Drosophila melanogaster: one gene and its partners. The protein of the gene in region 1 interacts with the protein of each later gene in a pairwise test. Each region holds a gene or a part of one and is shown on either strand. Other genes may lie near its edges. The genes, in order: CG8079, Prp3 and Mettl14.

What was found.
Region 2: the proteins of CG8079 (region 1) and Prp3 interact in a two-hybrid assay, tested with the Drosophila melanogaster proteins (one large-scale study listed by BioGRID).
Region 3: the proteins of CG8079 (region 1) and Mettl14 interact in a two-hybrid assay, tested with the Drosophila melanogaster proteins (one large-scale study listed by BioGRID).

The regions. Positions count from the first base shown.
Region 1 is NT_033778.4:15,216,435-15,220,187, forward strand, and holds the start of CG8079 (uncharacterized protein), read left to right. Parts: upstream 1-1,946; 5' UTR 1,947-2,029; coding exon 2,030-2,221; intron 2,222-2,278; coding exon 2,279-2,402; exon of another isoform or gene 2,403-2,465; coding exon of another isoform or gene 2,466-3,753. Other genes in the region: CG11808 (uncharacterized protein), read left to right, coding at 1-444, 508-588; mRpL41 (mitochondrial ribosomal protein L41), read right to left, coding at 630-1,130; Hex-C (hexokinase C), read right to left, coding at 2,466-3,753.
Region 2 is NT_037436.4:19,908,551-19,912,303, forward strand, and holds the start of Prp3 (precursor RNA processing 3), read left to right. Parts: upstream 1-1,752; 5' UTR 1,753-1,927; coding exon 1,928-2,969; intron 2,970-3,023; coding exon 3,024-3,753. Other genes in the region: Mi-2, read right to left, coding at 1,493-1,529.
Region 3 is NT_033779.5:8,306,850-8,310,602, forward strand, and holds Mettl14 (methyltransferase like 14), read left to right. Parts: upstream 1-1,577; 5' UTR 1,578-1,694; coding exon 1,695-1,760; intron 1,761-1,832; coding exon 1,833-2,349; intron 2,350-2,405; coding exon 2,406-3,016; 3' UTR 3,017-3,112; downstream 3,113-3,753. Other genes in the region: Ostgamma (oligosaccharide transferase gamma subunit), read right to left, coding at 57-219, 298-1,024, 1,134-1,220; CG7810 (uncharacterized protein), read right to left, coding at 3,180-3,753. UniProt on the Drosophila melanogaster protein: Non-catalytic component of the WMM complex, a complex that mediates N6-methyladenosine (m6A) methylation of mRNAs, a modification that plays a role in the efficiency of mRNA splicing and is required for sex determination.

The DNA of each region.
Region 1 (3,753 bases):
TCAAAACCGAAGAAGAAAAAGGCCAAGAAGTCGAAAAAGTACTCGAGAAGGAGTCGCAGTAGCAGTCGCAGCACCTCGCGCAGCTCCTCCAGCAGCAGGAGTAGTTCCCGCAGCACGCACAGCAAAAGCAGAACCAGGGATCATCACAAATCGCGGTCTATTTCGCAGAGGAAAACCAGGGGTCCAAGTTCGGAAAGCAATTCCCGATCCGCAACCACACCCGCAGCTGCTCCCGTGAAGGCCATCGATCTGTTCGACACCAAGGTGCAAAAGGCACTCGAGACTATAGACGAGGACACCTTCAAGCCGGAGTCATTTTTTAGCTCCAGGGATTCAAAGGAGACATCCGATAAGGTGATCATAGATCTGAACAATGAAACGGTCACAGTCGCCAGCAAGCCAGCCACTGCAGTCCGAAACGAAGATGTAATATTCCATCCGAACGTGAGTGGGTTACCTGGTGCTCGAATATACATGCTAATAGTATCTGATTTTCAATTCCGACAGTTCCTGGGCGACCCGGATATGAAGGCCGAGAAGTGGCTGCGCAAGCTGTACAATTACCGCCAAAAGTACATGCAGGAGTAGTCGAGTTTAGACTCTGTATTTAAGAAACAATAAACCTATGTCTAGAATATATCGCTGCCCGTCTTTCGAGCGCGTTGCAAGGCCTCCTCCGGAGTCAGTTGCTCATTGACCGAGGGCTCCTTGGCGCTGCCGTCCTTCTGCAGTTTTCCCGCCTTGAAATCTTCGATAATCTTCTGCGAGTAGACGGCGTTGAAGAGATCCAAGCTGGTGAACTCCGACTGGACGACGTCCGGCGCCTTATAGGACACGTATGGCTTTAGCTTACAACCGGTCAAATCGGGAACTATGATGTCCGGAATTTTCTCGGGAATCTCCACATACTGCCCGTCGACAAGTATGCCCGTGTCTCGTACACCTCGCTTGTGAATGGCTACCGGCGGATTGGCCAGTGTTTTCTGGGCTTCCTTTACCACGCGCGTACCGCGCTTGTTGTATGCGTTAAATTTACGGAAGTTCCGCTTGCCCTCCAGCACGGATGAAGTACTGATGGTCCTCTGCTGGCACCTTAGGGCAATGGGCACTACTTTAATACAATTATTCATTCTTATTTCGTTTTTCGGCGACCAAAATGGTTAAATAACAAATGTAGATGAGGGAACAGCTGTTTGGTTGGGTAGAGATGACACTTTTTTCGATAGACAATTAATCCCAGTTGGAAATGTATTGGAAGCCAATTTGCTATTAAACTACTTGTTTTTTTAAAAATACCGAAAAAGTTTTTTTTCTTTTAGGCCGTTGCCATATTTATTTTATCTTGATAAGAACTAAGTTGTTTTTTTTTTCAAAAACTAGGCATATTTTTTTTATGTGTAAAAGCAACCATCTCTTAATAAATCGATTAACTTTGCAGCCACCAGTGCTTAAAACGACTGTTAGTTGAAATGAAACTAGATGTTGGCGGATGTCGATGTTTTTGGCGAATAACATCGACGTTTTAAACATCGATGCTTTAAATAAAAATAATTGCTTTTTATTTTAATGTTGCTTAAATAAAACGTCAGTATTTGGTGTCCACCTTTTCATCCTCCGCTGGTCCAGTAATTGCTCCTATAAGACAAATGCACGTTTACATACATACATGTATATACATTTAGACGTGCATATGACATGCATTCATATGTGCAAGCCTTTTTCGGGTGTTAAAAACTTTCTTCTCAGATATTTTCCATGTCTATCACGACGCCACAATATGGTATTAATAATTGTATTAGAAGATATGGAAAATTAATTTGTACTTACAATTTATACGCTTTTCTCCTCAGATGCGATGTAGAGATGGAAAAACATCGATGATTCCTCGAAAACATCGATGAATGCGATTTTTTGAAAACATTGATGACATCCATGCTAGCATCGATGTTTCTCCATCTCTAGCTGAAACTCCCCAAATCGGCTTGTGATCCCTATAAAAAGTTGATTTAGATTCGACGGTTGTTAAACAATGTCGTTACCGGCTGAAGAGGAGGATTTGGCGGACACTGTCGCCAAGTACGATTCCATCGAATTGAAGAGCATACAGGACCTGGAAACCTGCGAGCAGCAACAACTACTGCAGTACGTCGAAAAGCTGCACGGGATTATCCGCAAATACGACACCAAACTGGCGTCCTATAAACAAAAACTCCTACACTACGTGAGTCCCAATTAAAGGTTGAGCTAAAATGGTCTTAATTTTTGATCTATTTTAAAGGTAAGCCGGGAAGAAAAGGTTTCGTGTGACAAAGCCAGCCAAGCAACTGAATCGGAATTACAAGAATGCCAGTATTCCATGGAAAACGATGAGGATACTAACAAAAAAGACCAGCCCAACGATTGTGAGTTAAAATTTGTTTTATTACACTGAGTCCTTCTATTATTGCTACAATAGTAGTGAGTTCCTACTTTGTTTTACTGGCCACCGCGGCCACCAGCGCAGCTCCACGTCCGGATCCGTCCTCCGAGAGCATGATGTCCCACTCCTTGTCTGCTTTCACCAGCTTTTGGAGTGTTTGCCTCATGTAGGCATCGAACTTTGGATGGTATCGGTAGACGGAGCCATCCATGCCGACTATCACGCGGCGGTTGGAAGTCCTGTTCACCAGCCCACTGACTCCGATGGCTACTAATGTAGCCGCTCGCTTAGCTACGCACTCGCAGATGTATCTCAGAGTCTGGCAGTCCTCCACGGAGGCCTTCTCTAGACCAAACAGATTTTTCACAATCTTCCTTGTGCTGGCAAACTCTGGGAAGGAGTCGTCCTCGATTTCCGAAATGTAGCGCGTCTCGAAAACCTCTTCGTTTCTCTGCAGCACGCTGGCGAATTCTGGACGTCGACTGCTCTGTTTAAAGATCAGCTTGCGCTCGAGGGCACGAAGTAGCACAAGGCGCACCAGGTTGCCCAAGTACATGCCCGCCGTCATCTTTTCGAACAGCTGCTCCGATCGGTTTAGAGACTTTTCGTCAACTTCGCGATCGTATTCGGTGCGCACAAAGTCCAACTGACCACCCTCACCAAAGGCGCCCCACTCAGCATTTACAATCACACTCCGCTTCGTTTTTTTAAAGTCTGCGCGCAATAGGTCCACATTCTCAACATCTTCAACGTAGCAGGCATTGCAGCCAGTTCCCACAATGACACCCACCCGGCAATCTGCATTACGATGGGCGCAGGACATCAAGGTGCCAGTGGTATCGTTGAGTATAGCCACCACGGCAATGTCGGCATCTCCGCGCCGCTGAATGGCCTCGTGCAGCATGCGGCCCACATCCTCGCCCTCAACCCCAGCACAATCGAATCCCTTAGTCCAGCGTACCAGGATGCCCTCCTTAAGGCCTAGTTGCACGCAAGGGAAGGAAAAAGTGAAGCCCAGTGGCAGATATGCGGTCTTCATGTCGTGTTTCTCCACAAATTTGGCCAGGCAGCCCGCAATGTGATCGAATAGGTCCACACCGGGCCCCACCATCAGGTCCTTTGGCACGGCATAGATCTGAGAATCCACCGTGGCGTCGTGGTGACCTTTCAGCGAGACGAGCAGTACTCGGAAGTTGGTACCGCCGAGATCCAGGGCCAGGTACTTGCCCATCTCGTCGCCCGTGGGCAGATCCTGCACGTACGTGGGAAAACACTTGACGTTGGCCTGTGGATGCGTGGACCGCTTAAGTCCACGGGCCACTTCCAGGCAAAAG
Region 2 (3,753 bases), on another chromosome or scaffold:
CTGCTTTTTGTTACACAGCGGCGGCATATTGTTTATCAGTTTTCCTATGAACTACTACTACATTCCAGCAATTTCCTCGCGAGACGGGCACCTTCCCATCCCATCCCTTGGCATCGTCTCTTTTCCACACTCTACTTTTCTCCTTCTTCATCTTACTTGTGTGTTGGCATATTTTGATTAACTCGTTAAAAAGACTATACTTTAGTTGTTTTGCAGGCACTTCGGTAGGATTGCATTGGTAGCTATATTTTTGTTGTTGTTTTTAACTAAATTTAATTTAAACGCGTCGGGTTTCTGTGAGTTTTTTTTTATCATATACGTTGGAGCGACAGAGACGGGGCGACGGCGACGTTTGGCTGGAGCGCGCGTGCATAACACGCACACACACAGAGACGCAAGTACGCGAGAGAGTGGAGAAATCAATCAAGAGAGCACGTCGGCGAAGGGGGAGTGGAAAAAATCACATATGTATGTGCGTCAGTGGAAGTGCGACAAGATTTTCCACAATATTCCACGCATCTTTGTTTCGTTTCTTTAGATATATGCACATATTGCTTCGTTTTCTTTTTGCATTGCTTTCTTACACAATTTATAATATATATATGCATATTTTGTGGTAATTTCAGGTTTTTATTTTTTGCACACACTTTTCATCATTCTTTTTTCGCTTTTCCTTCAGTTGGATATATTACGCACTGGATTTGTGGCTTTACACTGGCAATCGGTAGGCGGTGGCGAGTAATGCACGTATTCCCCTTAATTAACAGTTTTCTCTACAATTAATAATGTAATCTCTTTAACAAAAACTCAGAAATCACGTCATGGCTGCCACGTCCAAGCAACAATGAATGTAAATGGTGGCAGATGAGGCCGTCTGGGCATTCTCGACTAGCTCCAAAAGGGGCACACTATTTTTCTGGTGATACCATTGCACAGCCGATGATAACACTGCATATACGGTAACACCACAATAAGTGTGAACTAAAATGAATTTTCCGTATATTACAATTGACACTTGACAATTCACAGGTAAAGTAAACATCTTAATTGCTAAAGAACTTAAGATAAAACTTAATTTTAAAGGATTTACAGAGTATTCCACTCAAAACTTTCGACCAAAACAACCATGTAAAACATATGTTTTGATGAGTGAGCAGGACGTCTATATATTGCCTGCATTCGCGAATGGAGGGAACACAAAAATGCAATAAAAAATATGTGTGGAATGGAGGAGGCGCAAAAGACCCCAAAAAAACGCGCCACACATGTACAAATTTCACCAATTGCTGTAATACAAATAGTTTATAACGAGGTACAGCAATGACAATGACCAATTAGGATAATAGGCAACAATAAACAATGGGAGGGGGACGCAGCACGCTGCGCGGCTTTGCGGCTCTTGAACATGACCACGGTTCTTAGCCTGACCGAGCGACGGTCGGACCGAGTTTTTTTCACGCCGACATTTGGCCGACTGAAACAATGCACTTACCCTGGAAATTATCGTCATTCTCTTCCTCCGATGCCATTGTAGCACTCGAATGCAACTTTTACACTGTTTGAGCACACGAAATTGTCTTAATTTCCACAACAAATAATTAAGCACACACAGACACGACGAGAAAAAAATAGTCAATTGTAAGCGGCTTCAACAAATATGGCGGAGCGGAGAGCGACAAAAAGTGAGAGAACTAGGGTTGCACCCCGATAAAAGAAAGCGAAACGGTCACACTGGCGACATGACAACCCTGACTTTTATGTTTTTTTAACGACCCTGTCCTAACGTGTTTCGGAGAATTTTTCACCAAAGACCAAAAACCTTGTGTATTGTTTTTGAATTGCAAATCGCTGATTTAAGCTCAAGGAATGTGCCAAGCAGTTGGTAAATAACATTTACTTTTTAGTCCGACCCATTTAATTGCGAATTATGTCGTCCATTATCACGCGCAAGGATGGCGACGACCAGAAATTGTCCAAAAAGCGCGCTGCCGCCTCAGATTCCAAAAGTGGTGGTGGAAGCGCCCTTGAAGCGCCCAAGAAATCCCGCTTCGATGTCCCGGAAAAGAATGGCGGCGGTGGTGAGAAGAAAGAAGAGGTCGCCGTGCCCGCCTCGCTGAGTTCCACGCAGATCAAGCTGATGATGGCCCATGCCCAGCGGGAGATCGAGGAACGCAAGCGGGCCCTGAGTAATCTAAGAGACAAGGATCCGCTGCTGGCGTCAGTTCCATCGATCGGAATGCCAGTTGCCTTAGCCACTCAAGCGCTGGCGAAGAAGCCCACGCCCGAGGACTCGGAGAAGGCCAGGAAGATTGCCGAGTTGCAGGCACAGATCAGGGCCAAGCTTACTGGCAATTTGGCTAGTTTGATTCAGCCCACTGCGGTAGCGGCCGCCGCTGCAGCTGCTGCTCAAGCGCAGGAGCGACCCAAACCCCTGATTCTGGACGATGAAGGACGCACTGTGGACAAGAGCGGACGTACCATTAATATTCCCACGGTGACACCTACATTGAAAGCCAACATACGCGCCAAGAAACGGGAGGTGTTCCAACGCCAAACGGGTTTGGGTGAACGGAGTGAATCGGGCACTTCGGCCCAGGAAGAAGCTATTAAGTACTTTGACGACCGCATAGCCCTGAAGCCCACTGTTAGAACCAAGAGGACGTTGAGATTCCACGAGCCCGGAAAGTTCCAGCAGCTGGCCGAACGAATGCGCATGAAAAGCCAGCTGGAGCGACTACAGAATGAGATTTCGCAAATAGCCCGGAAAACGGGCATCTCGTCGGCCACCAAACTGGCATTGATTGCCCCCAAGCAGGACATGCCGGACGATGTGCCTGCCATGGAGTGGTGGGACTCAGTTATACTGACCCAGGATCTGGAGACGGTAGACGACGCAAGCGGTAAGATAAGCATACGCCAAACAGCCATAACCAACCTTATAGAGCATCCCACACAAATGAAGCCGCCAAGTAAGTTGAAAGCTAGAACATGTCCCACAAGCAACTAACCACCTACTCCTTCAGATGAGCCCTTGAAACCAGTGTATCTGCCGGTTTTCCTCACAAAGAAAGAGCGCAAAAAGCTTCGTCGCCAGAACCGTCGCGAGGCCTGGAAGGAGGAGCAGGAGAAGATCCGACTGGGTTTGGTGGCCCCACCAGAGCCGAAACTGCGCATATCCAACCTGATGCGTGTGCTTGGCTCGGAGGCCGTACAAGATCCGACCAAAATGGAGCAGCATGTGCGCGACCAGATGGCCAAGCGGCAGAAGGCGCACGAAGATGCCAACAATGCGCGCAAGCTGACCAGCGAGCAGAAGAGCGAAAAGAAGCAGCGCAAGCTGAGGGAAGACACCAGCTGCGGTGTACATGTCAGCGTCTATCGCATACGAGATCTGCAGGACAACCAGAGCAAGAAATTCAAGGTGGAGACCAATGCCAAGCAGCTGCAGATGACCGGCAGCGTGGTGTTGTTCCGGGATTGCTGTGTGGTTGTCGTGGAGGGTGGGCCCAAGCAGCAGAAAAAGTATCGCAGGCTCATGCTAACGCGCATTAAGTGGGAGGAGGACAACGCCAAGGGCAATGACGGCCAGGACGTGCCGAACTCATGCGTACTCGTCTGGGAGGGGACTAGTCAGCGACGGCACTTTGGCGAGATCAAGTTTAAGATCTTTCCAATGGAAAAAATGGCCCGTGAGTTTTTTCAGAAGCACCAGGTCGAACACTACTGGGATCTGGCCTACTCCGGAGCCGTGCT
Region 3 (3,753 bases), on another chromosome or scaffold:
AAAGAGAAGCCAACTTAAATATGTGATAAATTGCTTGCAGGATAGTAATGACTGACCTATAGGGATAACCCTGCGCCTTCGAACGAAAAACGGACAACAGGAAGGAGAAGAACACGGTGAGGAGCACCAAACCAGTCATCGCCATTATCCTGTTCTTGTTGTGAGCCTTTGGTGTTCCCGATTCAATCAGCAGAATCATGCCCAGCACAATCATGGCATCTGTAATCAAAGTTATTAGTTAAATAGTCCAAAAATGGTCAACAGAACTAGAGTGAAGACTAAAGACTCAGGACTTACTCAGGAACATGACGATATAGGTCTCCACCACCAGCTGGCCCTGCGAGGAGCCATGGATGTAGGCCACGCCACCATTTTGCGACTTGTGGACCAGCGGTGGTCCACGGATATGATTCCACATTTGACCCGAGATCATGGCGAAGCAGAAGAATACTGCGATGGCACCCCACAGATTCTTGTTGTACAAGAACTCCAAGTTATTTCGCCGAATGTAAAGAAAACTTCCCACCAGGGCCACCAATGTGATCATGGCCACGGTGCCAGAATAGTTTGGTGGACGGAAAATGCGAATGGTGATGTCCGTTCGCTCGGCAACGAATTTCGCAATAGAATCGGCGGCGAAGCCGACGCGATGGATATCCATGGTGTCAGCTCCCTTTGGCTTGCCCTTGGCCGGGAAATGCATGAACACCGGGGCGGTGTTCAGGCGCAGAAGTTGGAAAACCTCGGAGCCGTCATCGAAATCCACCATAGCAAAGAAGAGTTTGTTGGAGTAAGTCGAGGAGAAGCGGTAGGAGTTGGCCACGATGGCGAACTCGTCGTGGGCGTGCCTACAGATCTGGCATTGTCTCGATGGAGCCAATGCGGTGAGCATTACGATCATCGAGTAATTCCGTGGTGCACTCTTCACATACTCCCGAAACTTGGGTCCATTGAAGCGGAGCAGCGGCTTTTTGGCGTTCATGTCCACCAGGTTTTGTACTTTTTCCGACAGCGAGAGTCCCGTCTGAAAGGCATAAGATACCCATTAATAACATGCTGCATATTCCTCTAGCCGGCTTTCTGGGATGTGGAGCTAGAATGTCCACCGAAAAGTGACGTGGCCACAAACAAACCTTCGATTTTGATTGCGCGGCTGCGTAAATAGCGAATAACGCCACTACCAGCAGACCGCTGAGCAGCGTCTTGTGCAGCAGTCTCATTCTGCAGGCGATTTAATTAACAATCTCACTACTTTAACGCAAAATCACAGAAAAAACGTTTAATCAAAAATATTTTTTCCGGCGCATGCAGCTGATTGTGAATGGCAAGCGAAAACTATGCACGTTTACTGTGAATGGCAACATTGGTTGGTTTTACCTCAAGGAAGAAATAAATATTTATATCGATATAAAAAAGTAAACGAAGTTAGATTTTTAAAATTTGACTTTTTATAAGTCAGTAAAACAATATGCAAATCGTTTTAGTTGAATTCTTTAAAATGTATTTTCATATAAATAAGTTATCCCCTTAATTAGTTTAATAAGTATTATATTGTTGCGTGGGTCTAGTGTTATCGATACCGCAATAATCAGAATGCCGCCACTAGACGGCAAATTTTGTTGTCTTTAATTTTTAGTTTTCTTAAAATTGCGATTTAAAATATAGTACAGTACGTTTTTACTGCATATATTAGTATGAGCGATGTGCTAAAGAGCTCCCAGGAGCGATCCCGCAAGCGTCGTTTGCTTTTAGCGCAAACTGTAAGTATTCACACTGTGGAAAAAGCAGTCGGCGTCGAGTTTAACTCATAATTTATGTATTTCCTAACTCAGTTGGGCTTGTCGAGCGTCGACGATCTGAAAAAGGCTTTGGGTAATGCCGAAGACATTAACAGTAGTCGCCAGCTGAATTCCGGTGGGCAACGCGAGGAGGAGGATGGTGGCGCCTCTTCCTCCAAGAAAACCCCCAATGAAATCATCTATAGGGACTCCTCGACCTTCCTGAAGGGAACCCAGTCTTCCAATCCGCACAATGACTACTGCCAGCACTTTGTGGACACCGGTCAGCGTCCCCAGAACTTCATCCGTGATGTCGGCCTAGCTGACCGCTTCGAGGAGTATCCCAAGTTGAGGGAACTGATCAAACTGAAGGACAAACTCATCCAAGACACCGCATCCGCACCTATGTACTTAAAGGCGGATCTGAAATCGCTAGATGTCAAGACGCTGGGCGCCAAGTTTGATGTTATTTTGATTGAGCCGCCGCTAGAGGAATATGCCAGGGCAGCACCTTCTGTAGCCACTGTAGGTGGGGCACCGCGGGTTTTCTGGAACTGGGATGATATACTTAGTAAGTTCCCAGTCAAGCATCCATTAATGTAACCTAATAACTTTGAATTCTGCTAGATTTGGATGTGGGCGAGATAGCTGCTCATCGTTCGTTTGTATTCCTTTGGTGCGGATCCTCGGAGGGCTTGGACATGGGCCGCAACTGCCTGAAGAAGTGGGGATTCCGGAGGTGCGAAGACATATGTTGGATACGGACCAACATTAACAAGCCCGGGCACTCCAAGCAACTTGAACCGAAAGCGGTCTTTCAACGCACCAAGGAACACTGCCTGATGGGAATCAAAGGAACTGTTCGCCGCTCCACTGATGGCGATTTTATCCATGCCAACGTGGACATTGATTTAATCATCTCAGAGGAAGAGGAGTTTGGCAGCTTCGAGAAGCCCATCGAGATCTTTCACATCATCGAACATTTCTGCTTGGGTCGACGGCGTTTGCATCTGTTCGGCAGAGATTCGAGTATTCGACCAGGTTGGCTAACTGTTGGTCCGGAACTGACGAACTCGAACTTCAACTCCGAGCTATACCAGACCTACTTTGCTGAGGCTCCAGCCACCGGTTGCACTAGTAGGATTGAACTACTGAGGCCCAAGAGTCCGCCGCCGAATAGCAAAGTTTTAAGAGGAAGAGGACGCGGCTTTCCACGTGGTCGTGGAAGGCCCAGATAACAGCATTTTTACTCAACAACTGCGTGTATTCTAGTGTCTAAGATCAAAAGTTTTTAAGGCTAAGAATAAGATTAACATTAAAGTCTATTGCTGCAGAATGCTGAGTATCCTATCGATTTCCAGGGTTTTCTTTGGATGCCGAGCGACCAGCAGCTTTCATTTATTATCCGTGACTATTCTGGAGACTGTGATGATTGCTTAGATGCCTCATGTAGATATCCAAGTCATCTTCGCTAGATATAGCATTCTCATCCGCAGCATGCTCCTCCAATTCCTCCTCGTCCTCGCTATCCTCAAAGTAGGCATCTTCTTCATCCTGCTCAATTTGCTTCAGATCATCCAGCAAAGTGTTATCATCTACGGCCTTATAATCAAAATCCTTGTCTTCGCCACTAAGAAAGCGTTCCTTCATCATACTCAAGAACTCATTGCGTAGTAGTTCTCGCTCTCCAGGATTATAGAACTCCGGTGTGGAGATCATAGTTGTATTCATTGGAGCTCGGACTTCCGCATTTCGACTCGTTGAACAGGCCACTGGTTCATCATCTTCAAATCCACCCCACTGCTTTCGGCAAGCGACAGGAACGTCACAGTCTGCCTGAGGATTGGATTCACTTGTGACCTGCACGCTCTGCTTTCCTTCCTGCTGCGTTTCCTCTAGTAATTCATCTCTTTGCTTTTTCTCCAACGTATGCATTAGTATTCCTGAGAAGCTAGTATTCCGAACATCGTAACTA